Arabidopsis thaliana: one gene and its partner. The protein of the gene in region 2 interacts with the protein of the main gene of each other region in a pairwise test. Each region holds a gene or a part of one and is shown on either strand. Other genes may lie near its edges.

The links.
Region 1: the proteins of NPX1 (region 2) and TIP interact in a two-hybrid assay, tested with the Arabidopsis thaliana proteins (one study listed by BioGRID).

What each region holds. Positions count from the first base shown.
Region 1 is NC_003076.8:8,411,636-8,426,756, forward strand, and holds TIP (TCV-interacting protein), read right to left. Parts: upstream 7,442-15,121; 5' UTR 7,089-7,441; coding exon 6,911-7,088; intron 6,719-6,910; coding exon 6,438-6,718; intron 6,346-6,437; coding exon 6,088-6,345; intron 6,003-6,087; coding exon 5,544-6,002; intron 5,465-5,543; coding exon 5,285-5,464; 3' UTR 4,740-5,284; downstream 1-4,739. Other genes in the region: AT5G24580 (Heavy metal transport/detoxification superfamily protein), read right to left, coding at 110-332, 432-452; AT5G24600 (TRP-like ion channel protein (Protein of unknown function, DUF599)), read right to left, coding at 10,155-10,739, 11,546-11,707.
Region 2 is NC_003076.8:25,368,906-25,386,777, forward strand, and holds NPX1 (nuclear protein X1), read right to left. Parts: upstream 10,342-17,872; 5' UTR 10,308-10,341; coding exon of another isoform or gene 10,204-10,307; 5' UTR 10,148-10,203; coding exon of another isoform or gene 9,989-10,147; 5' UTR 9,879-9,988; coding exon 8,694-9,878; intron 8,603-8,693; coding exon 8,554-8,602; intron 8,475-8,553; coding exon 8,316-8,474; coding exon of another isoform or gene 8,275-8,315; exon of another isoform or gene 7,918-8,274; coding exon 7,847-7,917; intron 7,681-7,846; coding exon 7,608-7,680; intron 7,524-7,607; coding exon 7,440-7,523; intron 7,351-7,439; coding exon 7,226-7,350; intron 7,129-7,225; coding exon 7,062-7,128; intron 6,970-7,061; coding exon 6,839-6,969; intron 6,750-6,838; coding exon 5,508-6,749; 3' UTR 5,050-5,507; downstream 1-5,049. Other genes in the region: AT5G63290 (Radical SAM superfamily protein), read right to left, coding at 444-1,074, 1,166-1,989; AT5G63300 (Ribosomal protein S21 family protein), read left to right, coding at 2,217-2,870; NDPK2 (nucleoside diphosphate kinase 2), read right to left, coding at 3,217-3,284, 3,578-3,627, 3,717-3,829, 3,924-4,004, 4,225-4,311, 4,457-4,513, 4,694-4,933; AT5G63340 (uncharacterized protein), read left to right, coding at 9,989-10,147, 10,204-10,307, 10,459-10,649, 10,705-10,769; AT5G63350 (von willebrand factor A domain protein), read right to left, coding at 11,311-12,219; AT5G63375 (uncharacterized protein), read left to right, coding at 15,135-15,264, 15,398-15,582; AT5G63370 (Protein kinase superfamily protein), read right to left, coding at 16,049-17,872. UniProt on the Arabidopsis thaliana protein: Acts as a negative regulator in plant response to changes in environmental conditions through the control of ABA-regulated gene expression.

The DNA of each region.
Region 1 (15,121 bases), about 17 Mb from region 2:
AGCTAATGGTTTTTATATATTAGAAAGAGAATTTGTTTTGTTGATTAAAAGTGTTGAACAATTATTCTTAGCAGAATCTAATCCTCCATCCATTCATATATTCTTTTACCTCTAATTTTTAGAATAGATCTTTCAATCTTCTTAGCGCATCCAACACAATGCAAGTCGACGTAGAGTATGAAGGGTGGAGGCGGTGGTGGTGGTTGCGGCTCCTCTTCCTCCTTTGGTTTCTCCTCCTCAGCCGCCACTTTCTTCTCCTCCGCTACATCTTTCTTCTTCTCCTCCTCCTCAGCGGGGACGGCCTGTGGAGCAGAGGCTGCCTCCTTTGCCTCCTAATAATGAAAAGTTGAAAACATCAATCACCAATTAGTTACAAAATAGGTACTTAATTTGTTGTGGTTTAAAAGTATTGAAGGAACTTTAGATCTTACTGGTTTTACTTCTTCTCCCATGTTTTAGAATCTGTGGTTATAAGACGATTATGAATGAAACGAAGAAGAAATATATGTTATGGAGGGAATGAGTAGAGAGAGCGAGTATTTATATGAAACACTAGTATATTAAAAAACGAAGGAGAATTAGAATTATTGATGAATAATTAAAGTTATAGTATAAGGTAGGAGCTAAACAGAACATAAAGCATAAGAGGTTGATTCCATAGCACATGGCAGAAACTAATCATCCAACATATATAGACACACACCCCTTCACCCCCTTGTACCTTATATTTAGATTTATTCTCACCACTAATTATGTTTTGTAATTATTTTACAAACAACCTTTTCGATTTTCTTTCTTTTGCAATTTACTATTTTTTGAAGAGGGCCCGGAACAAGATGGTCCGAGGTCGGTAGGTTTTATAGGCATAGAATGTGGGTGTGCTTTGATCATGTACCTTGAATGATTGTATAATGGGCATCGTATTAGTTATGTCCGGATGTTGTTCGTTTTGTTGAGTCAGTTTTTTTCAGTTAGGCTTCCAAAATATGAAATTTAATCTTGTTAATTTTAGTTGTAAGATATGTGATCTTTTACTGTATTCAAAATCTACAAGTTTTTGCATGATAATTTAGTTTTTCACACCTCAACATGAGAAATCAAATTCTAAGTTTGATATAAAAACCACATATGTATTACAATATTCTAAGAAAACAATTTATTACTTGCAAATTCCTACCACTTAGCTTGTTCCTTTTCTTTTCATGTTATGTGGATTACTCCCTTCTGATATGTATATTTTTTTTTTCATGGGAGAAACGTATATTCATGATAACGCGGAAAACTATGTATAAATAAAAGGAACGTACCATGAGAAAATAATTTTTGGCATCGAAAAGGACAATACTTTGCATCATACTCACCGACTTTATTGGTTACATTTATATTGTTCCTCCTTAATTTTCTATAGTAATTTAATCTTTCCTATTCTTAATTTTAATATAACTTCTAACCCAATGTTAGTTCGAGAAAAAGATGATAAGATGACGTGTCATCATCTCTACCCAACATTATGTTGTCAGCTAAATAATTTATTTACTAAGAAAATACTTATCATTTACAATACGAAGAGGTTTTATTTTTATGTTTTATAAGTAATACATTACAAAGTTAAAAGCTAAATTTCACACACAAACTATTTTGTTTGTAGTGTGTAATGTAATCGAAAAAAAAAAAATAGTTCAGAAAGTATACTATTTATTTCTCATTGCAAGTAATTTCTATAGTTCGAAGTGGTTAGAAAAGACAAATCAAACTATAGTTGCATACATTGTATGAAACCATTAGATTAGTTTCTCTTTGTTCGTTAAAGCGGATTTGGTAGATTTGATTTATCTCCTTTTAGCAGAGGCATCAAAATCCTTTAACCACAAGTTTCGGTTACTTGTATTCTCGATACTAAGAACAATCTAATCAGTAGAAAACTCACTAAACAATGTGTTCTATATTTTCATAAAAATAGAAAAATAGTATTCACATTTCTTCAAAAGCAATTTTTGGGGATAGATGCAACATGGGGTGCCCAATAAAATGAAAACTATTAAAAATATATTTGGGTAGATTAAAGTGTTTGTAAAAACCCCTTGGCATGGTGGAAAAAGTAGAAATCACGTGGGATGCTTTAGATTAAATTTGGACAAATGAGAGAATAATTTCATTTTGTTTGGCAGTCAAGACTTAAGACAACTCTTGTAGACCAGTAGATGTTTGTTACTCGATTATGCGACTAATGTTAGTTTACGTGATTATGTGAAGTTAATGAATAAATTAGGGGCGTTTTATAGACAACACGTATATCATATATTTCTGGTTGATATCACCATCAATGTGTGTTCTTATCCGTCGTGCCCTATTTGATATATCGCAACTCAGACATTATGACATATTACAACTATCATATAAAGTATAAAACAAATAAGCTCGATAGTTGGAAGAACTATTTAGAAATTAAAGTGAACCTTTAGAGGCATTTACGGTTCGCCACTAAGACAAAATTAGCTATAAGAAAATGATAGATGAAAGTGTTCAGAGAATTCACTCAGATTCTTAATGTACGTAGTTGACCGGTTTATAATCCATGTTTGGTAACTTTCTAGTTAACTATATCTTTTTTACTTTTATAATTTTGTTTTGTTTTTGGAATTATAATCCTTTTTATAGTCTTTGTGAAGTAATCTAATTTTATTTTAAAAACTTATAACAGAAAAAGAGGTAAAAAGGTCGGGTCCATGTTTACATGTGCCCAAACACCTGGAGCTGACTCAGCTTACACAATATGCTGAATGTATACATTTTTGTGCGTATCTATGAGTCCATCTTTTATCCAAATATGATTTAACAAAAAAGTACATTTATTTCCATATTTCTTGGTGAGTTTGGCAATAATTTTTAATAAGTCTTAAAGAGTTACAAAATTTTAAATTTAGTATATCCACTGTATTGCTTATAAGAATGAAAGTATTCGTAAATAACAAAAATCTCATTTTTACTATGTAATTGTTTGGAGTGGATTAGGTAATGAAATTGAAGAATTTTTCAGGCAAATGATTTTTTTTTTGTTACAGAGGTAAATGATATTTTTAGTGTTTGTTATAAAAATATTAAAACGGTACAATAGAAATGTATTTTTTTCATAATAACCTGCAACGAAATTTTTTTTAATGTAAAATGTTGAATATCCGTTTCGAACGAATAAAAGTAACATATAAAACAATTTTTCATACACAACAGCTGAAAAATGAATCACTTGTATTTTACCTTGTGTCCATCTCTAAATTAGTTTATACTTTCTATATTATGCTACAAACTAAAATTGGTCTCCATCGTTTGGTAAAACTGATGATATTATCACTTTACTTGTAGTAAAAAATTCCTCTAAAACTGCGAATTTGGACTTAACTTTTTGGTATACCTGCTATAAAATGAACTTTAAGTAATAATAATTGACATGTAATTTGTATCCGATCGTTTTCACAGTTTGAGTCTCAATGTATAATTTACTTTTGACGCGCACTATCTTTATGGGTTTCAACTATTGTTTTATCCAAATGGACCTGAAAAAATCTCAATGTTGAGACTTGAGTGGTTTGTATAACTCAAAACTCAGCAGATGTTATCGCAGATCAAAAATCAAGACAATAAATAACCTCTGGTTTTTTATAGGTTAATTTTACGTACTAATGGTTTTTGCATTTGTTAAATAAAATTGATTTATGGAAGATTTTTCAGATCGTTCTGGAATTAACATGAAGTTCCTTTTATACCAACCGGCAATATGCGACTTTAATCTGATTCAAAAGTATATCCAAAAAGTCAAAAATACAAAAAGCCATATTGACTAAACCATATAAAAAAATAACTCTATGCCACAACCGAATTAGTTTCTCTGCTAAAATAAGTTTATAGACTCTCTTTTCTTGTCATCCGTTTTTAATAAAACTTAAAAGAAATTTATAGACTTTTGTTTTATGTAATGTGCCATGTTAATGATCAAGCATCGAGTCATTCATATCCACTATTGTATATTTACGCTTTAAAAGTGTGCATCACCTTCTTTGGTCATTATAAATTTATAATCGAAATATTAAATTGATTAAAGAACATGATACGTGAATTCTAAAAATAGTTGAGATAAAGTTAGTTGGTGTTCGGTGCATCGCATGTGGAGACATGAGTCCAACTGCAATGGCGTTAAGATTCGAATGCACATATTTTATGCATTTACGATGTTTTTATATATTGGAAAGAATTGTATTTTCTTTTCTTACTCACACATAATTTTGAGTTTTATTCAAAGTATGATACAACATTGATATATACTACTTATATCAGCTAACACATTTAAAAAGTCTAATAATTGTTTTGGTACTTACGTATTTTGGGTTTTATTCCAAAGCAACACGACAGTAATATTGATACAAACTGCTTCCTATGTCTTATTGTAAGTGTTGTTTAATTTTTTTTACAGATATCAAGAAAACAACTAAATTTTGAAATTTTATTCTTGGTCCATACAATTAAGTAGTAAGGATACAATTATTCTTGTAGAAGCCGGATTTGCCAGAAGAGGACCGGCCATCTTTGCTAACAAAGCCAAAAAGATGTCGGGCAAAAGCCCAAAACTTGGGACGGCAGTTTACCAGAATAATCCGGTCGGCAGAATTCAACAGTTCCTCTCTCTAAAAGATATGAAGGAGAGAAAAGAGAGGTGATCATATTATTTGAACTATTCAAATATGCATTCTTTTGTCCAAAAATTTTGTAATATATTACTGGGCATACTTAATGCCATAAAATACCCAAATGACATGTTTAACAGTCCATACCCTCAATCAAACCGTCCTATCATACTAAACATGTTTAATGATATACGAAATAAACACACCTCTAATAAATATCTCTACCCGGTCGGTTCGTACTAACATGTTTGACACCGTTTTCATTACGGTGCTACCATTCGAACTCGTAGTTTGTTTCTGATTGTACAAGGCTACTAAAAATGTCAAAAACGCAATCTCAAGACACATGTGGTCAGGAATAAAAAAATTTCCAAACATTACCATCTGAATATTATGAGTCGTCGTACATGTTAACTACAAGTCTACTACACTCCTAAACCGACCATGGTTAAGCTTAAGCCGACAAAAACAACAACAATAACAACAGATGCAGAACCAGGCCAAAACCCCTGTTATACACACAAATCCGCGCTCTCTCCACCCGTAAAAACCACTTTCTTTATTCTTACTATATGAATTGATCGGAACAAACATCACATTCAGCGGATTTATGCGACTAGACTGCAGACCGACATCACACACACAACCGCTACCACACCGACTCTGAAAAGCCCTCTGTATGAACATCCCATGGCTGCAATTTTCTTGAATATGAAACTAGTCCTGCTCTTTGATCTTGTGAAATTTCCACATCCTTTCGTCATAGTTTCCGTTGTTGTGTCCTTAACCTATATACATTTTATCGCATAAATATAAGGATCATAAATTGTAATACATGAGAAGGTATGAAAACAAACTTCTTCTCACCTCTTTCTTGATAAATTGAAGTTGTGTACTGTCAGTTTCTGACTTGTGGCTGTTAAGGTTAACCTGAAGACGCAGCCTTCTTGAGGCATCGCCCTGCATTACAAACTGCTCAGCACAACCCGGGGCTTGTGCTCGTCGAGCTCTAATCTTAATTCCTCTCTTAGATTCATCATTGATCTTGTTGCATGAGCTAAGATTCTGTGGCTCATATGGGATCTGTTCTGGCTCATAGGGAATGTCAAGAAAAGAATCCAAGAACTTGGACATATATTCATCCGCATCATTTGTACCGTACTGAGTCTGAATGTAATCCTCATTGTGGTTTTTGAACAATTCACTAGACTCAGATTGTAAGCCATTGAAAGAGGAACCGAGCTCAGATTGCACCTGAGAGTGCAACGGAGAGAACAGCTTCGGGGAATCAAACTCCATAAACGAGAGCCAATCGATATCGTCAAGCTGTTGAGTAAAATGAAGTTTGTAAGTTTACAAAGCGGTTGTACCGCCTCCTGTAATGAAAAGAATGTATTTTGTTCATCCTTACCCCGGTGGTTGTAACCTCAGGGACAGAGTATCCACTACGACATTCGCTGGGGATTACAAGAGAAGACTCTGCGACGTCACAAGGATTAGTCTCTTCTGTTTTAGGGAAAACAGGAGATACCTCAGACATTTCAACCTCGTCCACAACAGTTGGAGACGATACCGCTGGTTCAACTTCACATGACTTTGACTCTTCTGGTTCAGCAGCTCCGTTCACAATATCTTGCTTCTTAAACAACTTACAAACAACAAACGGATTCTGCAACCAAAAACAATCAAACAAACACAATCAGAAACACAAAAGACCTACACACACAAGTTAATGCCATCATTTGCCAAGTTGGTTTTTACCTGGCCAGACTTTGTTCCATCAAGATCCTTCTCAGTAGCACGATACTCATGCATAATCCAACAAGTTCGTGTCCCTTTAGGAGCACGACCTGTATAAAACACTAGAGTCCTCTTAACACCTATAATCTTAGTCTTTCCTGATTTGATCTTACGGTCTTTTCCCGTCGCCTTCCAGTATCCAGCCACAGTAGCTCTATTCATTCGACTTCCACTCGGATATTTCCGGTCCAAAGGACAAAAGAAGAGCCACTCTGAGTCTGTTGTCTTCACCACAGAAAAATCTACACCACAAATACTAAAGTATAAATCTTTACTCAAATTCACTAAGTCCACTACCTAAGCTAAGAAGTTATTGATCATATTGTTCCAAATTCAAACATGCATAAACCGGAATTGAAGCCTGGGAATTGCTAAACCGAGACTAAAGAGCTAAAGATGAATCAACGAATTGATTTGATGAAGAAAGGAATTACCAGGCAAATCCCAAGGCTCCCATTTGCAGATATCGATCTCACGAATTACTCTAACGTCGTTATCGTGACCGTTGATCTTGAGCCGGAGATAGTACCGGACTAACTCTTCGTCCGTTGGACTAAATCTGAACCCAACCGGTAGTGAAGCGAGCGATAGTACTTCCATGTCTTCTTTCATAGTTGCGTGAGACTTTGAGAATTCGAGAGGAAAAGAAAAAATCACAAATTCGACTTCAAGGTGATATCTAAAATGAATTTGGATCAAAGATGCGATTCAAAGGTATATAGAAGAAAACTAAGAAAAAACCAGATTCCAGAATTTGATGAAGTACGAAAAGAAAAAACCCTAAAATTTGACACGATTTGGTAAAGTGGAGAAGAAGGAGATGTGACACGATTTGGTCAGACAAGAGAGATATCAAAGACAAAGAGATGAAAAAGTGGCGCGTGGATAGGCGTACCACTGTTTCCCAGAAAGTCATAAAACACAAAACCACGTTCGTTACGCGTAAAAGGCAAAACAGAATGTAAATACCTATTTTACCCCTGAAGTATTGCAGTAAAATAGTTACGGAAATAGGGGTTATATGAGTCAAAAGGTGAGGATGTCTGAACGAGAGATGTCACCTAGCGAATCATATATTGACACGTTGATGCTATAAAGGAAGCTTCGTGATAGTTGTACGGAAGTTAAAGAAGAATTAAATAAACTTAATTGGTATCATATTGATTTACCAATATGAAACAGTTTACACAACTGGCCAGCCCATCTTACTAATAGTGTTTGTTGTTAAAGCCCAATAGATGAGAACCCAATTCAACCATTTTTTTTTCTTGGTCGTGTGAAGTCTGAATCAATTTATTTAAACCAAATAATGTAAATCAAATAGGTTTAAACTTTAAAACGTTTGATATCGAAGTCCGTTGGTACTCAAAACTAAACCTCAAAAACAGAGAAGAAAGTAGCGAGCGAAAAGGAAGATCTTATTTATCTAAACTTAACGTTCGGCCGTTTACAAGATATGTTTACAGCCAAGCCTCGTTTTAAGAGATACAACAAGAATAAAACTACACAAGTCAATTGTCGAGCTTATGTCTTTGAATCCGAATGAGAATGTTCTTGTACTATTCTCGTCCGACTTCAGGTGTCCTTTTCTGGCATTCCTCTGTCAATATTTATAGTACTTCAATGAAAGTACACAGTACCATTTTCTGAGCGATATGAAACTTCTATGGCGGCTGATCCTTTCCAGAAAATGGGCCTCATCTCGCAATGGGCTGCGGCTTTCTCAGGGGGGCTGGTCTTCATCATTCTTAACTGAGGTTTTCAATGACTCTTTGTTTGGGCCTCCGAATGTTAAATGGGGCGAAGCCCATATCCAACAAAGTTTATCTAAGTCATTGCTTTTTGTTTTGTTTTTGGGTTTAGACCTCTGCGTTTCTAGTTTGAGGATAGTCTCTTATAGTGTTTGATTAGTTGGAATGTAATCTTTTACAACCATAATTGTTTTTGTGAAGACCAAATTGTTGTGAATTAGTTTTAGAAAAAAAAAAAATCTTGTGACCGTAAATCTTATATTTCTACAACCTAAAACCATATGTTGTTATAAGTTCTATAAGTTATATTTTTAATTTAATCTCTCTTTTATTTTAATTTTATTTCCTCATGATCATTTTTTATGTGTTGCTTATATAATGTACACTAGGCACTAGATGGATATATACTAATAGTATAAATACCATGTATAGTTTTGTTTGTTAATGTATACTTATGTATAAATTTTGAACAACATTTGAACAAAAAATTTATATGTATATATTCTTTTCAACTAATATGTAGTTATTATCCGACTAACATATAAACTATTTTACATGTTTATATAGATTCCATTTAACCTATATGTGCATCACAAAATTTGTGTTGTTGTTTATTATATAGTTTGGTTAACTATAATATTTTATAAAATATTTACTAATCATATTTTAAGATACGACTAATAAATTTACTTCTAAGACTTTATATCCCTAATATCTACACGTATAACAATAAAATACACGGTTGCATTTTACACGCTGACGGTCAAAATTTTACAGCGAATAATTTACGGTGACATGCCAACCAATCACTTAGTTACTAAAGACGTTTACTTTCTATCTCAAAGTTCAGTTTCTGGAAATATTTTATTTTCCGTTGTTTAAAATCATAAATGTATGTAGCTTTTAAAATAGTTTTTGGCTTTCGAATTTTAGTTTGTAATTTTTTTTTTTGGTGTAAATGTTAGTTGTTTGAAAAATTTGAATGGTAATTAGATGTGGATTTTAGTTTAGTTTTAATTTATTTGAAAAACAAAGAAAAAATATTAAAACTTGAATATGTGGAAATCTCTCTTTTTATTTTTATTTTATTTAGAAAATTATGTATTTCCTCATGATCCTACTTAGTGGCTATGTTCTATCTGATCAAAATTTAAGAAGTCACCAAAACTACAAGTTGTTAAATTACTAAATATCTCATGATGATCCGACCCTACCCAATTGCTCTTTTCATTTTATTATTTTGTTACACTACCAATATTAAACATATCGAATCAAGATTGTGCGAAACACAAATTGTCCCACGGTATATCGTGGGTTAAATCCTATATCAACGTTAGTTAAAAAAATATAGAAAACCACCCACTATATATATAGTGTTTTAAAAAAAGATTAAAAATAAAAGCTCCAAAAATAAATACATATTTAGTTTTACTATTATGGATTCTTAACATTTGTCCTAACTACAAAAGGGTTAAAGAGATCTCAAACAATTAATGTGGTTGACAGAAAAAATAAGAAAAATGTTACCTCCGAATACCATATATTATAAACGGGGAAAGAAAAAGCTATAGAAGTAGAATTTATGAACATTTTTGATCCAAGTCCATATTTGTAATTTGTTCTAAATTCTTCGTAACTTTTAAAGTAAAGGGTTGAAAATAAACATGGAATATATATGATCCATATATACCATATGCATATGCAAAATTACCAAAAAAATATATATATCTTTGACATCAGTAAAATTGACAATTTTACGGTTAAATGACAACAAATTTCTTCACTTGGTTACAGAGTGACACTTTGACACGGTTCAACTACCATTGAACCTGAATCAATACAACTTACAAGATTTGTATGTTCCATTGAACAAAACTCTCTTCAATATATCTGAACCCCTAACCATTATCAAATTAAAAAAAAACTACTAAACATTCTGAGCTAAGCTTCTAATCTCGGGCTCCTCCGCGTCTGCGGCTCCAACGCTACATTTCATCGAGTCAAACGTTAAATCAAGGAAGTACAACGAACAAACAAGAACGCAACAAGTTATGAACATTGGGATGGGACCAAAGATCCATAGGAATAAAGGCGAGGAGAAGTAGAACGCTCGTAGTCCTAACGACCAGAAGTAACTCCCACGGTTAACCGTTGCAGCCACATAATCTTGGTTTATCATAAGACTACCATTACCACGACCACCTGAAGAAACAGCCATGAGCTGTTTAAAGGGGACATTGATAAGGATGCTTGCATGGCTGTAATAACGAATTGATTGGACATTGAGGAGAAACGCGACTAGGAAACACACGAGGATTGCGAAGAACTTGAGCGAGAAGGCTCGGTCGCTTTTGTCTCCAAACACAAACCAGACTGATCGCTCTCCTGTAGCGCTAGTCATTAGTACCGCGATTAGTGAACATAACATTATTGCGGTTGATGCTAATAGAGTTGATGCCATTATGTTGTTCCTTAGCGTTTGAACCGCTAAAACGCCGTTTTTGGATGAGTCCTGTTTACAATAGTTGTTAACGGAACATAAGTTAGTACAAGAAATCTCAAATCCAACAAAAAGTGAAAAAAATTGGTGGAGGAAATAATGTAATTATAAACATTTTTTTCAAAAAAAAGTTTCCCAAAAATGCAAAGCATCTTTTGAGTGTTGTTAGCTTTCACACTTGCGGATTCATTTAGTAAGGAAATGTTCAAAATCTTGCATTAACGTAAAGAACTTTAACATAATTATGTTCACATAGAAAAGAAAAAATCTGAGCAAAAGAAGAAAGAAAAACAACTTGATACTGTTTCAACTTTCAATATTAGTATCAATTTATGAGGTGCATGCATGATGATTATACTTAGAATTATACTCATATTTATATATAAACCATATACTAAACTTTATATATGCACATAGTGAGATAGAATCTCAACCTCACATCCTCCAATCCAATACAAAAGGACCTGAAACTGTTGTCAGTATTTTCTTTCCCAGGAAAATCTCTACACATGCATACACTTATCATTTATCACTTCTTATTCAATTAATTCATCTTTATCGTTATGTGTAAATCAACACTATAAGCAATTTATATAAACAAGATTCTCCTTAGTTATCATCTCCAACAACCCTCAAAATATAAAACCAAATGAGCTAAAATAATTTTGCATTTTCCAGGAAAAAAATGATCATATAACTCATGTAAAATTAAGTAGAGAGATCAATCATATATATTTGACTAGAAAAAACAAATCTACATATGCATTTTTATAACCAAAAGCAAATAAATATGATTAAAAAATAGTAAAAAGATAGACCTCCATCATGGCTTGGACCCAAAGGCGGCGATTGAAGGCGTTAAGGCCAACAACAGTCGAAGAAGGACGGTGGATGATACGGTAGAGAAGCCATAGATGATAAAAGACCATCAAAGCAAGCCCTAAAGGCACAAGTGTATAATCTAAATACTCACGCTTCATCTTCTTAGATCAAAGATTGATCACAAAAAAAATCTAGAAAAAAATTGAAGGAGATTGAGAGAATCAAAGTAGAGTACGGGTCTTACGTGGACCTTCCCGTATCTAATGCTATATTTTTCTCTCAATTTTTGTTTTGAGCTTTCCGGATTCTTAGGCGTTTCCTTTCACTCTATACCTCTATTTATAGATTTGAGTCTTTATGTATAAACGTGTGTGTGTGTGCGTTATTAAATATGTGTACAAATCTCCAACTTGTAAAGGAAGAACCCTATAGCTGTTAAGTTTGGACCAGCCGTTGCCATTTGGCATTCGGATTTACCAATGTTTTTGTTACCAAACATATACTATATTTAAAAGTAATCGACTAATTGATATATATTTGACATCTAGTTGAATTTTTTGAAAGAACTCCTAAAATCCTAAAATCCTTCATCATTTTAAGTTTTCACTCTTATTATTGGATGCAAAAATCTAGTGTTACAATTTACAAATAATTGCTGTAACCACAAATACTAAAAGTCAGTAGCAATTCATGGGATTTCCGAAGCAATGTTAAACTATAAGGACTAGAAAAATCATACATTTTATTAATTTTACAAAAAAAAAAACAAATCAGAATTTATTAAAATGGTGAAACATTTCGAACCCAATTTGGTTTTCTTGGATCTTCCATATTTAACATATATATATGAAATAGAGGTATTCTAAAACATAGAATTGATTTTTTATATTAATTCAAAATTACCACAAAATATTTAAAACATCTTCAAAACTTTTATTGATAAGTCCTAAATCATTTGTAGGAATTTTAGAAAATAATATATGAAAATATGAATTTTATAGGTTTACTCTATATATAGATTATTCAAAATACAAAAAGTAAACAATACTATTAAATTAACTAGTTTCGTATCCACAACCTTTAATTTATTTATGTTAACCATTTGTAAATCTAAAGGTCCATTAATTAGTGAATTAAGAAAAAGAAAAAAAAAGCATGCAAAAGATGTATTTAATTTTGTTTGTCAACAACTCACACTCTAAAAGTTTTTTTCTTCAACAACTCACAACACAAAGCATGCGAAAAGTTTCTTTCACTATTTTCAAAAAATGCAAAAGATATAGTATCTATTAATACTATGACATAATCAAATAATAAACAAATTTTAAATTAAAAATTTTCATTGCAAAAGATATATATTTTATAATAATAAAAAATACTCTATCTTGAAAAACGAGGATACGGAAAACATTTGTTTGGCAAGTTTATATCAAAATAAATAAATTACAGCCTTTCATTACAAAAGATATATTTTCTAATAACAAACATTCTATAATAATAAAAATAAAAATTTGATAAACTTTACAATAGATTTAAAATAGCTAAGTTTGCAACAAAATAAAAATAAAAATGAATGTGGCGTTTAATTGAAAAAGACCAAAAAAGGAGAAAAATGTGAGGAAAGTGGAAAACTTTTGAGAACATGCACGGCCCACTAGAGGCCCACCTACTTTCTATGACGTCTCTCTCTTCATTTCACAGCTGATTTGGCATCGGTATATTCCTCGAGGATTCCCCACCATAACAATGTTGCCATTTTTATAATTATTATTAGAACAACAATAACAACTCACTTACATAAGTTTTCGAAAAAGACAGTAAATTATGGTGATCAAAAGTTGCTCAAGGCATTAAGAAAATGTATGATTCTGAAAATTGTTTGTTCTAAATCACATAAAGTCTGTTTGTTCTAAATCACATAAAGTTTTGGGCTTTTAGCAATTACTATATATATAACCCGGACGTTAAAAGAAGACCCGGACGTTAAAAGAAGAGTAAACTTGTTTCTTCTTTGACTTGGAGGAAATATTCTTTTAAGAATTTAATTTATTTGTGTACGTTTTTCTTTTTGTTAAATTTTTATTTGTGTACGTTGTGGTACCACTTGGTAGAAAGTAGAGCCGTATATGTAATATGTGTCACTTGCATGTTCATCAAATTTCAACAACTACTATCACCAAGTCTTAAAGAGTAATCCTATGGGAGGCTCGAGGAGCTAAGAAAAATGCTTATTAAGATTTGAGATTAGCATTTAATTGGGAGCGTGTGACATGTTACCGTTACCATTAATAAAAGACTTTCGTTGACTTGTTATGAAGGAAATTTAATCAGTCCGTGTTATTTTCAACTATTATTGGATCGGTCTTGAAGTTAGCATCCATACCTCTCTTCACGTGGGTTTATCTATTAGGTTTACACGTGGTTTATACATACATGACTCTTTGTAGATACATTATTTAGGGTCTGATTGGATAACATTAGAGTAATTGAGAGTACAGTAATTGGGAAAAGATGTATCAGGAGGAAAAGAAAAGTGATAATTAGAGTAAAAGAGAGTAAAAATATATAATAGATTTTTTAAAGTAATTGGTAGTTAATAAGAATTGGGAGTTATTAGAAAGATTGATTAAAAATATATTTTTGTAATCAAATTGTAAACTATATTAAATAAAAGTAAATAGCTTACATTAACAAAATTTAAAATATGTTCCATTATAATAAATATAATTTTAAGTTATAGTCTACTAACGACGTTGAAGTTTACGTTTGTTTATAGACGATAATTATTATGCAATATGATCACATACTATACGCATATATATTCCTGACTCTAATATATATTCGTTTTTGTTCTCAGTTTGACTTGATGTCTATTTTGAGAAGAGTTTCTTGCATGTTTAACTAGTAGTCTGTTGCTTTGAAAAGATGAGAAGATTTTTCTGGTCCGAACTTTTTCACTTTCATTGATTTATGAGTTCAAGTTAGAGATATCCTCTTTCCTTATTTCTCTGAACTAACTATGCGTTTTATTACAGGTATTTTTGGACCTGTTTTTGAGTTGGATTATAATGAAGAGACTACAACTTATATAACCTTTATCCATGTTAAGATTAGAATTATGATCACATATCGTCTTATATTTTTTCGAAGAGTTCAATTTAAATCCATGGAATGAGCTATGCTAGGATTTGGGAATGAAAGGCTTCAGAGAATTTGTACCAATTGTTGCCTTATAAATCATCATGCCAATAATTGTCCCCTTTTAGTTGCTCATGTGGTTCAAGATGATGAAAAAGATGTTCTAGTTGTGGGCCTGTTTGGAAAGAAGGTATTGGATCAAACAATCTTACTCATCAAACTCTTGTAAATAATTCTGAATCGACATCTCCTCATACTCACCAATATCCTAGCCTCCTCCTCCTACTTCACCACCTTTACATGACAATGAGTTTAATGGGGGTCTTCACCCTCCGAGGTTTCCTGCTTCAAGTTCCACATCTATGCATTCCTTTTCATTCTCTTCTTCTGGTCGAAGATTTTATGGTAAAACACGTTATGACATAAATGAAAGC
Region 2 (17,872 bases):
CATTTTATATCGAATCGTTTTCAGCTCCTAAAGTCACTCTTGTTTAACATTTTATACAGGTAAGCTTCAAACTGCTCTTGAGATACAGGATGTTCAAATCCGATATTGGTTTGGTGAATCACAAATCTTCCTCATTACTTCTCCATCTCAGACCTTTCCTCATTTGGTGTTTCTCAAACCAGAGACTTATGGATTCCAAACGAGAGTATTTCTATGTGGTTATGAAGCTAGTTGCTATGGATATCAGATGGATTACATAGACAAATGATTTTTCTGTAAGCTTGTAAAAACAGATGATTCCTTCCACAAAATAGGAATAGTGATTAGATTTTTCTCTGTAATTTTATCGAATCTTCATACATATCAATGATAACATCAAGGTTGAAACACAATCTATAACAGTAAGAGTATAAAACAATCTTTCTTGTTAGTAGCTTTAAGGTTTAAGGAGCTACCACGCCAAACGATAGAGATATCAACTCATTAGAGAGGAGAAAACCATCTGGATCTTTCAGTCTAAGGTACCTCACATGATCCTCAATCTTCACTTCATCATTTGCAACTAAGGTTTTGAATTCATCAATCATCACTTCGCTTCTCATATCATCCAAACAAACAATGTGCCCACTCTCCACATAAGGCTCATAAACTTTACAGATTGATTTCACTACCTCACTGCCAAAAGCTTCTCCAAACTCCTTAAGTTCAAGCCCTTTAGATGTTCTGAAAGATAGCATTAAGATGTCTGTTGCAACATCCTTAAGATCAACATCACCATTTCCACACCAGTTTGCTGCGCCATTCTCCAAGTCAGCGACATAGTTTGTGTATTCCTTTAGCCTCCTTGGCCTTGAAAACCTCAACCCTCCAACATAACTCGCTGAACCTAAACCGAAAGCATAGAATGGCTTGTTCTTCCAGTATATCAAGTTGTGTTTGCACTTGAAACCGTCTCTCGAGTAACTGCTGACTTCATAATGTTCATAACCTGCACCACGGAGCATCGATGATGCTGTTTTATAAAACTCTGCAGACTGTGTTTCTGAAGGAAGAGGGGACTGTCCTGGAGTGTACCTACACAAGTTCATGAACCCAATTCGTTTCTGTTCAGATTACATTCAAGTTCTTAAGCATCAGTAAGCAAACTTGAACTACGTACACTTACAAATTTCCAAACTTTGTGCCTTGTTCGACTTGCAGATCATATACAGAAACATGATTGGGCTGTGATTCGATAGCTAATCTCAAACTCTCTTCCCACATCTCCAAAGTCTGGTGAGGCAGAGAAGAAATAAGATCCATACTCCAATTCTCAACTCCACATTCTTTAACAAACTCTATTGCTTCATACACTTGAGAGACACCATGAGCTCTTCCACAAGCTTTCAAAAGCTCATCTTGAAAAGCTTGAACTCCTAAAGACACTCTGTTAACTCCCAATTTCATCAAATCCTTCAGCTTCTGACCATCAAACGTGCCTGGATCCATCTCCATTGATATCTCAGCATCTGGACTCAGCCCGAAATTCAAACTCAATGTTTCCAGAATCAAAGAAACAAGCTTCGGAGGAACAAGAGAAGGCGTCCCACCACCGAAAAACACCGTTTCTAGATTCGGGTTCGTATCAAAATCCGTCCTTGTCGCTTTTATCTCTCTAACAAGCAAATTCACATAGTTCGTGATTCTCGGGTCATCTTCTTTTCCTTCCTCGTAGACATTAGACGGTCTGGCTGAAGAAGAAGACATGCCTAGAGCTAAGATAGGAAAGTCACAATAATGACAGCGTTTGCGACAAAACGGAAGATGAACGTAGGCTGAGGTTGGTGGACCTTTGTGTAACGTAGTAAGATTGGTTGACGCATTTCGTCGAGCACTTGGTGGAGTATCTTGTAGAACAACCTTACTAAAAGCTCGAAAAAACAACTTCGATGAGCACTTGGGTTTACCTGTAAACGATGAGAAAATTGGAGAAATCGTTGTTTTCAGCATAATTACCAAATAAAACGAGAGAAAAAGAAAGAGAGCCAGAGAGACGAAGAGAGAAAGCTTTCAAAGATCAAAGTTCACTGGTCTCGTTTTATATGCTTCAACGTCGTCGTTTTAGTCAGAAAGTAGACTCACTAAAGACTTGACCATCTAATTAACACACTAATTACAATTGAAAAATATTATAATAAGAATGAAACGATTATTCACTTATTCAGACGGAAAAAAAAATGGCGCTAGAATCGATAGTCTCTCTCTCGGAGCTTCTCTCTTCCCTTCTCTCGTCGAAACCACCGTCTCCGTCGAGTCTGAAACCTATCACGCTTCCGTCTTCCGTATCCGCGAGAACGTCACAGCATTTGTCGATGACGACGAAGATTTTAACGGCCGAGCACGATGACGTCATCAATCGAGTGGCGTATCCTTCGCTGGCGAACGCGAATCTCGTATTCTTCAAGTCCAGTTACTACAACGTCGAGGTGGTGCCTAAAGACGGCGAATCGGAGGAGCAGCTGGTTAACGATTTCAAGAGGTCGTGTTTCAGAGCGGGTGTGTTGCAGGAATCTCGAAGACGACGCTTCTTCGAGAGCTCTCTGGAGAAGAAGACGCGGAAGACCAAAGAAGCTGCGAAGAAGTATCGGAAAAGGTCAGATTTTTTTTTCACTTTTTCTTCTTTCTTTCGAAAAACACTTGGAGAAGTTGAGTCAATAGATTTTGATTTTACAGGAGACCAAACCCTAAACCAAAACCACTATCAACTTCAGAGATCCGCAAGCACAACAGAAATGCATCCAGAGAAGACGAACAAGACGATCACTGGGAACTTCCTCCTGAGGACATTGAGATTCCATATACCAACCGGTCTTAGAAGTAAACCGGAATGATATTCCGGTACACTGATCTGAGCAATCTTAATCACGCAGCATCTGCGTTTTGTAAAGCCACTCTTTTGTATGTTCTTTTAGCTTGAGATTAGAAAATTTTCATTGCTCGGTGTAGAGTGAAGATGAATGATTTTGGAGGTGTCTGTAACGTAGAACCAAATGCAGATGAATCTGTAACTAGTTTTGATTACATGACAAGTGATCACAGATATGAGAAGAATCAAGCCATAGATTGGCAGTTATATTATATTGCCGCCCAAAATCAGGAACAAAACACCAAAGCTCATCATCGGTAACAAGAAAACAAGTAAGGACACCATTATAATTGACTCTGTCTTCTCAAGGATCACTCCCTTAGCCATGTAGCTAGAGCCGAATCCCACTTGCATAGCTCGCCCTCTTTGAACCACAGACCTATGCCACAACCACAAGAGCCAAAATGTCAGCAAATGAAAACTAAAAGTTTAGCATACTAAGGAATGAGAGTGATTGGTCAAACTAAGTAAATGAAGAAGTGATAGTAATGGTTTAAAACAGATATATTGAACCTAACAATTTCAGTAATCAAGTATGATCTAATCTAGTTATGTTATCAAGTTAATTTGAAGCAGTTTGAACCACGTTGATTTGCCCCTAAACTGGACATAGTCAATGTCTCAACAATGAAAGATGGGTGAATGATTTGAACAAAAAACAAGAAATCTCACCAATCTCACGCTTGCCGTTTTCAGGGCTGTCACTACCATGCACAATGTTCCTGCAAATTGCATAATTTAAAAATATCAAACCATGAGAATTATTTTAAGTGCTTACTTCCAACAATTTTAAAGATGATAGAAGTCCAACCTTCCGGTTTGCACAGCAAGATCTCCTCTTATAGTACCAGGTTCAGCTTGAAGCGGATCTGTTTTCCCTATTAGCTTCCTGGCTGAAGCAACAACACCAACACCTTCCCAAGCCTTTACCAGGTTTAAAACATCACATGCAATTAACTCATCTAATTACAACTTGAAAACAAGTAAAAATCAAATTAGAGCATAGTTATACCCATACCATACACACAACTGGACCTGAAGTGATGTACTCAATCAGGTTAGGAAAGAATGATTTAGCACTAAGATCCTTATAATGCTCCTGGCAATTGAGATAAACACACAAGAATATTAATTATGTCAATCGAATATGAAAAAAAAATGAGGCAGCGTCATCTTACGCAAATGTAGCGAATAAGTGAAATATGCAAGTCATGATCAGGCTTCAATTTCTCGATACTTGTCAATGATTTATTAGTTATATCACATTAAGAAGCAATCTAAAGTTATCAAACTACTGATGTAATGAGTGAGTGTCAAACCTCAGCCAATTCTTTTGGGCACTGAAACATCTTGAGCCCAATAAGTTTAAACCCCTTTTTCTCAAAGCGAGAAATGATTTCTCCTACCTAAGAACATCAAATGAATCATACATTCATAATTTAAGCCAAGATAGTGTAATGAAATAACATTCAAAGCTCCATAGAGTTCCAAGATACATAATTTAACCTCAAAATCAGAAGAAGAAAAAAAATGAAAAGCAAAAACGCTTACAAGGCCTCGTTGTATGCCATCAGGTTTCACCATAATGTAAGTCTCCTCAACGTCCTCCTGAAACAATACAGAAAACAACGTAAGAACAATCAAAAGGTCACTAAATTGCATTGAGATTCATCAAATTAGAATATATCCAAACTAATTTGAATCCTAAATTCCTGATTTCGGAGTTTAATCAATGTAAGTACTAAGAAAACAAAGTAATTCGCATAAATGGAGGGGAAGCACACAAACCATAGAAGCTACAAGGTGAGGAAGGAAGATTCCCGATTCGGCGGAGCTGGAAGCGCGAAGACGGCGGCGAGACGCGGAATTGCGAGAGAAAAGACGGAACTGAGGACGAAATGCGGCCAACGCTGTTCTAAAATTAACCCTGGCTGGAGAACAGTGTGGATTGAGACTTGCCGAGTTTCTCTCCGGCGGCGAAGCCACACATAGGGGAGTCCATTTACTAACTACAGTCGCTCCCACCATTTTCTGCGCTTTGTCTTAGCTTCTCTCAGTGTCTTCGCATCATCATCTTATAAGAACAAAGTTAATTGACATAAATACCCTTTATCCAGAAGCGAAGATAATTTGGGTTTAGTTGATCAATCAAAAAGTATCAGTGCTCAGAAGTAATTTAAAAAGTGATCTCGAGTACAAAGAGTGTCTCGTTTAAATGGAGGAAACAGACTCTTTCTCTTTCCCTGTACAGTTTACTCTTCTAAAAGATTAAAAAAAACAAAAGTCTGCACATTTCAACAGTCGCACAATTTGCTGCTTTAATACCAAACCAAACCATCTTTCTTGTAGCAAAATTGTTTTTTTCTTTTTCTTTTTTCGTCGATTTAGAATCATTGTCAACAGAGTCACGTTGAAAAATAGGCAATACAGACTCATCGTCTTGTCTTCTAGATGTATCTGGCTTTGCCTTTCTTTTGCTTGCTTTAGCCATTTCACGCCACATCAAATTTACATTTTGTGCATAGAAGAATCAATGCGTAAACATCCCCAACTTTTTCTTTTCATCTTGTTGCTTTTAACAAGACCCGGAAAAAAGACTTCATCAATCAATTTCTACATCTATATCTTCCTCTCCCTGGTCAACAAGGTCAGTTTTTTGCCCTGCCTTGTCCACAACTTCGGTTTCTACCTTTCCATTGCCATCAACTACAGTTTCGTTTCCTCCCTTGTCCGAAACTTCAGTTCCTTGCACTCCCTCACCATTGTCAACAGCTTCATTTTCTTCTACCCCCTTTTCGACAACTTCGCTTTTTTGCTCTCCCAAGTCGACAACTCCAGTTTCTTGTTCTTCTTTTTCAGTAACTCTACTTTCTTGCTCTGGCACATTCGCCAATTGTTCTTCTCCTTCAATTTTATTGATGGATTTTTCATCTTCTTGGTTCCCATTATCTTGTGTCTTTTGGCTTACCAGTTCTTCGTTTCCACAATCGAGTTGGTTCTCTCCCTCTTCTCTGTGAGGACTAAGTGTTTGTCCTTCACTTTTGTCAAGGGAAAGTTCTTTTCCTACTCCGACAACTTCAGTTTCTTGCTCTCCTGTATCATCATCTCTACTACTTTCTTGCTCTAGCACATTCTCCAATTGTTCTTCTCTCTCGCTTTGATTGATTTTTTCATCTCTTTGGTTCTCATAATCTTGTGCCTTTTCGCTTACCGATTCTTCATTACCGCTAGCACGTGGGTCCTCTCTCTCTTTTCTGTGAGGACTGAGTGTACGCCCTTCACTTCGGTCAAGGGGATGTACTTCTTCCACTCCCATATCAACAACTTCATTTTCTTGCTTTCTCATATCGACAACTTCAGTTTCTTGCTCTTCCTTGTCACCAACTCCACTTTCTTGCTCTGGCATATTCTCCAGTTGTCGTTCTATTTCATTTGGGTTTATGGGTTTTCCATCTTCTTGGTCCCCATTATCATGTGCCTCTTGGCTCACCGGCTCTTCATTTCCGCTAACGAGTTGATCCTCTCCTTCTACTCTGTGAGGACTATGTTCCTGTTTTTCACTTCTGTCAAAGGGATTGTCTTCTACTTTTCTCTGGCTAAAGTGTGGCGGGTCTTCTTCTTCATCCTCATCCTCATCCATTTTCATATACAGACCTAGATGTTCTAATGGATTACTGTTGCTTTCCATCTTGAAACTACCCAAACCCAACATATCCTCACTAAACTTGGGACTCATCACTTCCATGGAAGTCGGTAATTGATCACCTTCTGTACCTGTAGCTCTAAGCATCTGGAGGTCTTCCATAAACCGTATGCCCTCGTTTATCTCCACTGTCTTTTCCATCTGCAACAGACCAGAAAGTCATTTATCATGATTGTACACCATGGTAGGGCTCTGAATAATAGAAGAGAAACTCGAAAAGTCTTTTATACCTTTTGTAAAGCTTGACGTGCAGCTTCTCTCTCTTGCTCTCTTTCCCTCCTCGCTTTTTCTGCGGCTTCTGCTTTGGCTTTTCTCCGAGCCTCCTCAGCTGCTTTGGCCTCGGCTTGTAACCGTTCTTTTTCTAATCAAACGGAAATCGCAAGAATTAAAAATAAAAGTATTTAGTTAGGAATTATGGGTACATAAGCACACTCGAATGCACTACAATCCAACCTTCCCGTAGCCGTTTTTCAAACTCCTCTCTTTCTATCCTCAATTTTTCAGGATCCCCTTTTTCACCCTGAAATTTGATGCATTAAATTTTTTGATTAAAACAATCCACAAGTTCAGGCGAGCTTTTTCGTCAACACAGTAGATCGGACACTTAAAAATTCAACCTTGGTAAAAGCCTTCTCTCGAGCTTTCATAATGGTATCAGCAAAACGATTCTTCAAGAAAGCCGCGCGGTAACGCTTATCTGGGGAATCTGGGGAAATTTGCCTCTCAGGTGGAGCAGTCTCCTCTATAATACCAAAGCATGACAGGTAAACTCATGATCTGAAAATAAACATCTATTACCATCTCCAACCTTCCTTAACTTTCATTTCTTACCATCTGGAACGAGAACTACTGCATCCATGGTGGTTGACTTTTCCCCAACAGTATGCTCAAGTTGATCCAATTCATTCAAAGAATCTACAGAGAACAAAGAATGAGTGTCGGGAAGACTTCTATATCCGAGCACTCCAACTTGCATACATCAATTATAAAGAGACTAACCATTTACAACTATCTTCTCACTGTTGCTATCATCCTCTTTTTTGTCTATACCAACTCCTGGTTGCTTTTTTTCCTAAATTAAAGAGGAGACTATACTTATTTTTCTGTAGTAATTTCACTTTTATGATTGCAAATAGTCCATGGAAATATTGGTGAGTAAATGAAAAATCTTGCAGAAATTAGAGCAACATCCAAACACAGAGACTCCATAACATAAGTTATTCCACTGTTAGATATACCTCTCTACTTGTGGGTTTTGAAGCTTTAATAGAATCTGTTTCACTCCCAGAGGAACTACAAGAATCAGAATCTGAAAGATAATCACAGAACACATCAGTATAAAAAGCACTTCCTATGAGTAAAAATAAAGCAAAGGAATCAATTCTACAGTTTGCCAAACCACAATGTAAGAACTTAATTCATTCGTCATAAACGATAACCACAGAAACTAACTATAATATCCTCTATAGCAAGGGAATAACCACACTTACTAGAGCAGAGAAAAAGCATCGAAAAGATAATATGGGACACGACGTAGGCTCAAATTACAAAACAAGACTCAGGAGTCCAATACTAATCATTTCAATAGAAAAGTTACTTTATTTCCAATCTTAACTATTCTTACAAACTGTACAAATCAATGCACTATTTAAGAGAAACAAAATGATTATTCTAAGGAAATAGAAGAAGGCTCGCATAAACACGAACCACTAGATGAAGAGCCTGATTCACTACTAGAGCTACTCGAACTGCTGCTTTCATTATTTCTACATGCAGCATCTTTTTCTATCTTAAGAGGAGGATGGCTTGAGACCGAGGGGTCATTCCCACCAACTATGTCAACATCCTCGTCAATTTGCAGATCACCTGTGATTATGAGTACATCAGATACTCAGATTACTGAAGGAAATCATTTTCGACATCAAATTAAATAGCAAAAACATACCTTTACTAGGCTGCAAAGGGGAATTACTGAATCCAGAGTCATGAACAATCTGTAAAAGAAAAGTTAAAACCAAAAGTCAAATGTCAACATTTCCAAGTGCACACAAACGATTACTAAAAATAATCAGAGAGGTTCTTTACCTCCATCTCACAAGGTTCGCTCTTTTCCATGGATTTCTTTTTCTCCCTTAAATAGTCATCCAGGAGTTTCCGAACCATGAACAAGATTTCATCAGAAAGCGCTTCTATATCTATCTCAATCTCACCTTCTCCAGATTGACCATCACTGCCACTTTGCTCTCTCAGGAGATCAGCAATCTTTTGAGGGAAATCTTCTTCTAATGCCATCAGATCTTGGCCTAATTTTTTCTTCTCACCATCTGTCATGACCAACTTAGCAGGTTCCACCCTCAGCTTGTTATCGTTCATTGCAGCTTCCTTCTTTCTCATCGGTGCTACTTCGAAAGGGATTTCAGACTCCAGAGAAGCAGAACTGGTTAGGGGAATAACTGGTGGTTTAGACATAGGTATTTTTTTCTCTATACTTTTCCATCCCGATTCAAAATATTTACTGATACCCTGAGCCATAGTATGGAACTGATTTCCTGGTGGATTGTAAGCTATAGAATTTGAAAATGTAAGACGCACATCTGCTGCAAAGTCCAAAGGACTAGAGTATTCACCTTTACACAGCCTGCTTCGTATCGTTCCAAGATCCATTGGATGTTTAATCACATTAAAATAGTCTGGAATATTCAACATCACTGGATCAACTGGAGTACGAAATGGCCACCCCGACTTATGTGACCATAAACGATTGAGTAACGTCTCACACTCCTTCATCACTGAAGCAACAGTATAACTTGTTGGGACATTTAATCGAGATGGACCTTTCTTATTCCGCTGCTTATCACTGCGCACAGGAGGGCGCTTTTTGCCCTGTGACCCAACAAATGTAGCAAAGTTTTCTGGTGGCGGCCTCCTAGGCCCATCACTGCAGCTATGATCATTGTATGGCGACAACAGAACAGTGTCTGAACTGAAAGATGCAATCTTCTTACTAAGGTCCCTGACCTGTTGAAGCTCCATCTTCAACTTGTGAACTAAATTCTTTCTCTCAGACCTCGACATCTTTGACAGAGACAAAACCTCTTTAGAAACGCCATTGTTATCTCCATTCAAACCAAAACGTCTCCTTTTCAGTGGAGGAGACGCCTCAGAATTCATCCTCTCTGAGTAAACAAATTCATCAGGCTCAACAGCTTGCATGTAATCAGGAACAAAGCCTGATGGTCTCCCTCTAGAGTGTTTCCGCGCTTTACCCATCGTTTGCTATAAACCAGAAACCCAACAGTTCATTCGCTTTTCAGAGTTAATCGTCTTCACACCATCAAATTAGAATATAAAACAAACTAAAAAAAAAAATCAAGCAAGTAATGCTTTTATGCCTTTGCTCCAAAAATCTTGCAGATATCTTCAACAATGAATCTATAGACACCATTCATCGTTATCGAGCCAAAACACAATTCCCCGAAAAAATATCACAAGAATGCGATTACCAAATCAATCCGATGATGAATTCCTATGAATTGCACGTTGACTTACCAAACTGAGAATCCCAATTGGTCTAAGCTTCTTGCTTCTCCCTCAGGTCAAAATCAAATCAAATTCACCGAAGAAGTATCTTCCTCAACGGCAATTGGCAAAAAAGCTAATCGAAACCCTAGAAAAACCCTCGACTGAGTCAAAAAAAAGGTACCAAAATCGATTTGGAAAACCCTAGATCGAGAGCTTCTGGATATCTTTTCGAATGGAAAACTAAAAAAAAATTCGAAAAAACGAAAGAGGTGAGAGGAGAGAGAGAGACTTACGAAGAATAACGAACAATTTGCTTCTCTACTTATAGATCCGAAGAGATGAGCAGCCCGCCGCCTTTAATCGAATCTAAGCCGTTAAATTCCAGCCAACCAAATCTAGACGGCTACAATTATCCTTTCGATATGTACCGTCGATATTTAGATCTAACGGCTGTGAAGGCTACGGTGCAATCTAGTGAATCTGGATCTCTAATTGTTTTGAGAAAAGATCTTGGAGCGCGTGAGTATTAATACTCCAAATCGCAAGAATTAATAGATTACACGTGTTACTATAGCGCGTGTAATAGACGCGGATACCGACCGACATTGTCTCCACTATTTTGACTATTTTATCCACTAAACGCGCCCTGTAAATAGCGCGATTGAATTACACGTGCCTATGAATCTTTTGATTTTCAGGCCCATTAGTGAATATCATGAGGCTACCCATTAGTAAACTATTTATTTTTCTACGTAATGCTCTTGTATGGGCTTGGGAAGACTGTTTATTATGTTAACACCTTTGCAAACGAATGTTGACAATTTCATCTTCAAGCTTAAATGACATGAAAACGAACAATGTGAAAAAGAAAAACTTTAATGATTGTAAAAGGCATACATATATACAACTTTCTTGAAATTTTTAAGCAAAACAAAAAAAAACATAAATTTGAGATTAGCAATTTAGAGAAAACAGCATTTTATAAACAAAATACTAACTAAAGAAGAAAGCAAACTAAAAAATAAAACACAGAAACATATGTTCAAGGTGAAAATTAAATAACCAAAGTTTATCACTTGCTATATTTTTAGTTCTACGAAGGGCCATGTGTGATACGATACGATCGGGACCATTCATCATTTTCACCATTGTAAATCCAACGGTGGCGAATGAAAGAACGTCACAGACACAAAGCTGCCTTAACGTCAAGCCTCCACGCAAAACCACCGCCGTCCATTCTCCACACGTCACAAGGCACCGTGACGGATCCTCTTTCTCGATCTTGACACGTGTACTGTAATCTCACTCTGCATGTGAAAGCTGGGTACGTTAGCATCGGCCTCTCCTTCATCACTAACCGTACGTTCACGTGAAAATTATCGTAACTAATATCCTCCGGTACACCTTCCTCCATCGGAATATTAATATCTTCTCTAGCCATCTTCTTATACGCCTCATTGGTCCACGTGACTCTCCCTACACCGTCCGATATAAAACCAGGACACGTGTCTTCCACTAGATTCATCTTCCTCTCCTGATTTGTCTCCCCTAATCCATAACCGTCGATCCAAGCGTCAGTCACACGCTCAACCGTCACACACGACGAAACCACCACCGTCCTTCGTGATATCTCCGCCGTTTTGTACGGCGTTAAAATCTCACCACCGCCGTTGAAACTCAGCCATAAAGGACCGTTTCGCTTCTGCTTCTCCACCGGAAAAGCATTCAGATCTGGAAAAACTCGTTTCTCAGGCGTCTCTGGTAAAAGAGACAATGTAACCGCCGTGGTAGTAGCAGTGTCTCCACTTAGATCTCTCTTCTTCTTATTGCACCTTCGGGAGTTCCCACCGGAACAATCTTTTTGATACTTTCTCTTTCCTCTCCCAGATTTACCTGAGAGATCGGAGCTTCCACCACTTGTAGTTGTGGTGGAGCCGCTCTTCCCGGTGAGAGAGACACTTCCACCGTCGCTGGCCGGTTTAGGAGCAATGGGACGAAAACGAAGCATGATTCGATCTGCTTTGGAGAGACCGTAGCGACCACCGTAACCACCATATCTGGCTATGCAACAACCTCCCCTACCGTCCATGATCTCTCTCTGTATATATCTTTCTCTCTTAATAGGTTTTAGTGGGAGCTTTGAAGAATAATGAAGAGAGGTGTGTGTGAAGGGGTTTATATAGGGACTCTGAAGATGACAAGTGTTGGGTTGATACGCGTGTCTTTGTCTAGAATACGCTTATCACCGTTGCACTTGCACATGCTCTTTTTCCTTCTGTAATGGACATGAAAAATGAATCGAATTTATGTTTAAAACTATTTTCTAAAACGACAAAAAAAACTATTCAAAAATGGCATGACATAGAAATATAATTAAACTTGTACTATTTTTTTTTTATCACAAATTAAGCAGTACTTATTGTAATTTAATGTTTTAAAAATGGTCGGTGTTTTGTTATTGGAAAATTCGAAGTTCTCAGTATATTGGTCTAATTAATATTTGACATGAAGGTATATATTTGATTCTTATATTCGGTTGTTCAATCAAAGCGCGGATGAAAAAAATATGATGTTAGCATTCGAGATTTTTATAATTAGACGTATACATAAGGAACGGAATTGAGAACCTAATCTGGTCTAATAGTATATAATTAATTAGTAGGTCCCGTGGTTAGCTAATAATCACTTTGACCCTTGTGTTTACTACTTTAGTACCTGAATAGTATACTAATTTGTTTGGCCTAAAAACAGATAATCATGAATAAATGCCAAAATTAGGTTAAAATATAGTACATCGAAATGAAAAAAAAAAGGTAATGTTAGGCATGGTCCAAGAGATGAGGGTTCATACATTATCATTGACCGATTCTGAATTTAATTTAGTGGAATATAATCTTAATCAACTAAAGGTGATCGTGACTCTAGATCTCAAATCTTTATTAACGGGACAAGGTCGATGATCTCATGTCCAAAGAGGAATTTTGTGCCAATGAAGTTAGGCCACCTCTTTTATGAAAGGGAAAGAAGGAACATTGGATGGCGTATAAATAAAAATCATGAGGGAGTGACGGTATCATGGAGCCATCTTAAATATAATCATACAATTGATTCGGAAAAAGTATATATGGACATGAGAGTCAAAATCTTATTAAAAATCCAATATAGTAACATAGAAATAAAGTAGATTCGGAAGGCAGTTCGAGATGGCATCAAGAAAAATCTGATGGGTTTGTGTTGCGTTGTACGTTGCACGCAAGAGGACACGTAGAGATATGTAATTAGCTTATCAACTTACAACTATAATTTACACAAACAATCTCATTATTTAATTAACCAAGGCTTAATAATTAGTCCATATATATTTATACATTCATGAATGTGGACGAAACTGATGACTGATGTTGAGACTTGAGAGTTAGGTTTGATTCTTTAACATTCGATATCTCATCTTCCATTTTTCGTTATTACATATTTTGTTGCAAGGAAAACACGATATACCGTATAGAGTTGATGTAGCTAAAGTTTTAATTCAACAATGTAATCTTGATCATTAAAGTATAGATGATTTTAGTGGTTCTACTTGACGTCCCTACAGATAGTAAATGCAATTATCAAAAACATGTCATAGTTACTAAAAGAAGAAGGATGCACAAATACAATCTTTTTGGGTTGGATCAGATCAAATTATATTTGGCTTAAAGACATTGATTACTACGTATATATTAAACAAATGAATAAAATTGACTACCTTTGCTCTCACCCTCACCTGCTGATTCTATACCTAATTAATTATATAATACGATAGCCAACAGTTTCAACATAAAACCACCATCGAAACATACTACTGATATAATATGCATATGGGACAAATGAAAAATGAAAAATATAACGGATGAATAACGAAAAATGAAAAATATCATTAATGATATAATATGCATATGGGACAAAGCAATCTTATCCGTTACGGACTATATAACATATCATTTCTTAATCATATATTATATACGTATATATATAATCGTATATCATCAGTAATATATTTGTTGTAAGAAAAACACATACTGTATATACATGACCAAAAACATTTCGCTTTATGCATTGATGTAAAAAAATTAAAACTATACATAAACACATCAAAAATTACAGACACTTAACAGATGTACCATGTTTTTTTAAGAATCAATAGTTACAAAATTTGAGAAAAAGGTGATATTTTGTCATTTCGTTGGATATGAAGGAACCAATGATAAAACATCGTTAGTTACTAATTCAAACAACAAAAAAAAGAACCCCGAATTTAAATGCTCACCATCGACAAACCTTGGCTATTTATTTTATAAATATAAGACAAGTACTAAATCCTATCAACACTAAACAATAAAATCGAACATGTTCACCCAATTATAATCTGACAGCTGAAGAAGATAAGGAAATACTAAATATAGAGAGGTTCGATGACAGAGAGAAAAAGGTAGACTGAATCACCATCAAAACCACGCCCAAGAACCCTAATTGGGGAAAGTGGCCAAATGAATTCTCGCCACGTGTGGATCTGATGGTGTCAGAGTCGGTAAAGTTTAAAAAAGGTAATGTGTGATGTCTCGATAAGGGCTTTTAAACTGGTCGTTTTGTCTGGGACACTTGTACAGTTTTGGAAAGGAGGACCCATGACTAGGGCATTCTTTAGTTAATTTTAAACTTGATAAATCAGTATTTCGTTTCTATATATTTGTTTATGAAATTCTGTATCATTAGAGAAATCAGATGATGTGGCAATCATTATCTGTTCTCTTTAATCGACCAAAGGTTCGAACAAAATATCATTGTTGGTTATCTGATATAGAGAAAACTAATTTAGAAACCTCGTTTTGAAAAATTCCAACTACAATATGAGATTTGATTCTACAGGAGTTTGGAATATGGGAAAGGGAATTTACAAAAGTGATTGTTGAAACATTACCGATTGTTAAATGGTAATAGACAGCTGAAGCTGCACAATGACATATGGTAAGGAGCTGGGAGCAAAAGACTAAGGACCGAAACGATGCAGATCATCTCGCAAAAGAAGCTTTTCCTCATATTGATCACTGTTGTGTGTTGTGTAATATCCTTTCTGTTTATGGCCTCGTCAAAGGTAATGCTGATTCTAGTTTATTCGTTATTGAAATGAACTTGATTTAGCTTAGCTGTTTACAGAAGTTAAAAAGAAAGGAGGACAAAGGGTTATAGTGTTGAAGACAAACTTATTTTAGCTTCTTTCTATATAGCTTTTTATCCCAAATCCCTTAATTCTCGGATTAACATGAAAAAAACCACTGCCATACCTCCTATGTCCACAGAAACTCATCATGAATCATCTTTTTCTCACTGCCAACAGACCAAATACGAGCACCTCAAAGACAAAGGGACGTCGAACAACAAACCAACATTGATAACAGAGCGTGGTAAATAAGTAATCAAAATAAACTTACTGATGTCAACTTCCATTCTCACGTTTGTGATAAACTCTTTGCGTTTACCTCGTGAATAAAAACAATGCACAGAAGAAATATGAGGACATAAACAATAACCATCCCAACCCAATTACTAGAGAGAGAAAGTGAATACTGAGATCTCTTCCATTAAAGCATGTGAGTCAATAGTGTGTACAACTCTTGATAGCAATAACATTAGGGTCCTAACGAAAAGAGAGAAACACACCTTTCAGTTTTACGGACCACTCATATTTACACATGAATCCGAATAAATGGTACACTAGAATGCCCTGAATCTCCAGGCAACAAAGCAACGCAACTGAGTTAAGAATAGATGAAAGCAAGTCTTTTGAGTAAAAAGGAAAATACCAAAATACGACCAGTCGACTTCCCTGTGTATTTGTTGACATCCTCTCGTCCAAATGATAGCACGTTTTTTCTCAGTTACCGCTTTGGAGGATATGTCGGCATGAAATCTTTGGATTTTGGTAACGGGACTTCATGGAACCAACCATGGTTGAGAGCATCTTCCACTGTTAGACGTTTCTCAGGGTCCAAAGTTAGTAGACTGTTCAGCAAATCAAATCCACGTTCAGAAAGAATTTGACCACCTACAAATGAAATAGCTGGAAACTTCTTACGTAACATATTGTAAGGCTGTGTAGGAAACTTGGCTTTAGCATTCGGAAATGATGAGAACCCAGGCCATATTGCTTCGTTTGGTGTTCCAAGGACCGCAAAGATCTTCTGAAGTTGGTCAAGCTCACTCTTACCCGGGAACAAAGGCTTTTGAGACAACAGTTCAGCCATAATGCAACCCACTGACCACATATCAACTGCTGTAGAGTACTCTTTTGCTCCTAGAAGAAGTTCAGGTGGCCTGTACCACTGGGTAATAACCATCTGGGTGTAAGGCTTGATAGGGCTCCCATACTGGCGCGCCATCCCAAAATCACATATTTTTAACTCCCCACAATTGTTCATCAGAAGATTAGATGGCTTCAGATCCCTGTGGATAATCCAATTTGTGTGGAGGTATTTCAAACCATCCAACAGCTGCATCATCAAGCACTTGACTTCGCTAGTGCTAAAAGGTTCCTTCCTTCTATCCATTACTCCCCTCAGGTCGTGTTCTAAGTGTTCCATGACCATATAAACATCATTATCGTTTTTCCCTCCAACCACAACCTCCTTCACGTTCACAATCGCAGGGTGATTGCATGACAAAAGTATGTTAATTTCCCTCAATGATGTCAAAGGGAATCCATACTCTTCTTCGAACCTATCTTCCTTCATCTTGATCTTTTTGAGCGCAACAATCTCTTTTGTTTTCTCATCCCTTGCTTTGTAAACAATTCCATATGTTCCTTCATTTATCTTGTTTAGCTTCTGAAATTCATTCACAGACCTGCTCCCAAACATCATGTTCATCTCTCCCGGAGTTAAAGAATCTTGATCTTCATGTTCTAACTCATCATGATCAGAACTATAATACTCACGACCAGAATTTCCATCTGCACTAAGCTTCTCTACGCTGAGATGTCCACTGCCAGATCCAGACGAATAGCACTGCTGTTCTTCAGACACCATTACTTCCTCGCACTCCGGTGTCAAACTGCTCCTGTTCCATCTATTAGTCTTGGAAACGTTAACAGATATTAACTCCTCCTTTGGGGAAGTCAAACCTGTCCCCCACCTAGATGTCTTTATATTTGGTTCCTGCATCACTTGTTCTTCCTCCAACAGACCCTCCTTTACATCCTCCTGCATCACCTGTTCTTCCTCCAACTGACCCTCCTCCAAATCATCAACAGGATGTTTCACAGCCAGCAGGGCTTCTGAAGGCTGCACTGGAGCAAGATAACTAGGTTCTGGCGACATCAAGGCATTCACTTGATCGTTTGAAGTAGTCTTACCAGCAACAGCCTGATTGGATATCACAGTTGTAGTCGGAACAGGGAAAGGAGACTTGGTCTTCTCCCTAGATGGAGCTCTACCCACTTTTTCTGCATTCCACACGATGGGTGAAAACTTCCTCCTTTTCTCAGAGGGTCTCTGAACCTCTGCTTCCTCCCGTAGTTCCCCTTTCTCATATGCCAACCGTGATCGGTGACGCCCATCATTCCTCCTGAGATCATGGTCACTAGGCCTTTTGATTTGACGCCTCTCGTCATCTCTACCACTCTGTCGAACATACACATCACGAGAACCATTCCTGTAAAAGTCGTAGTCTTTTTTGACAGCAACGGAACTTCTGGAAACATCAAC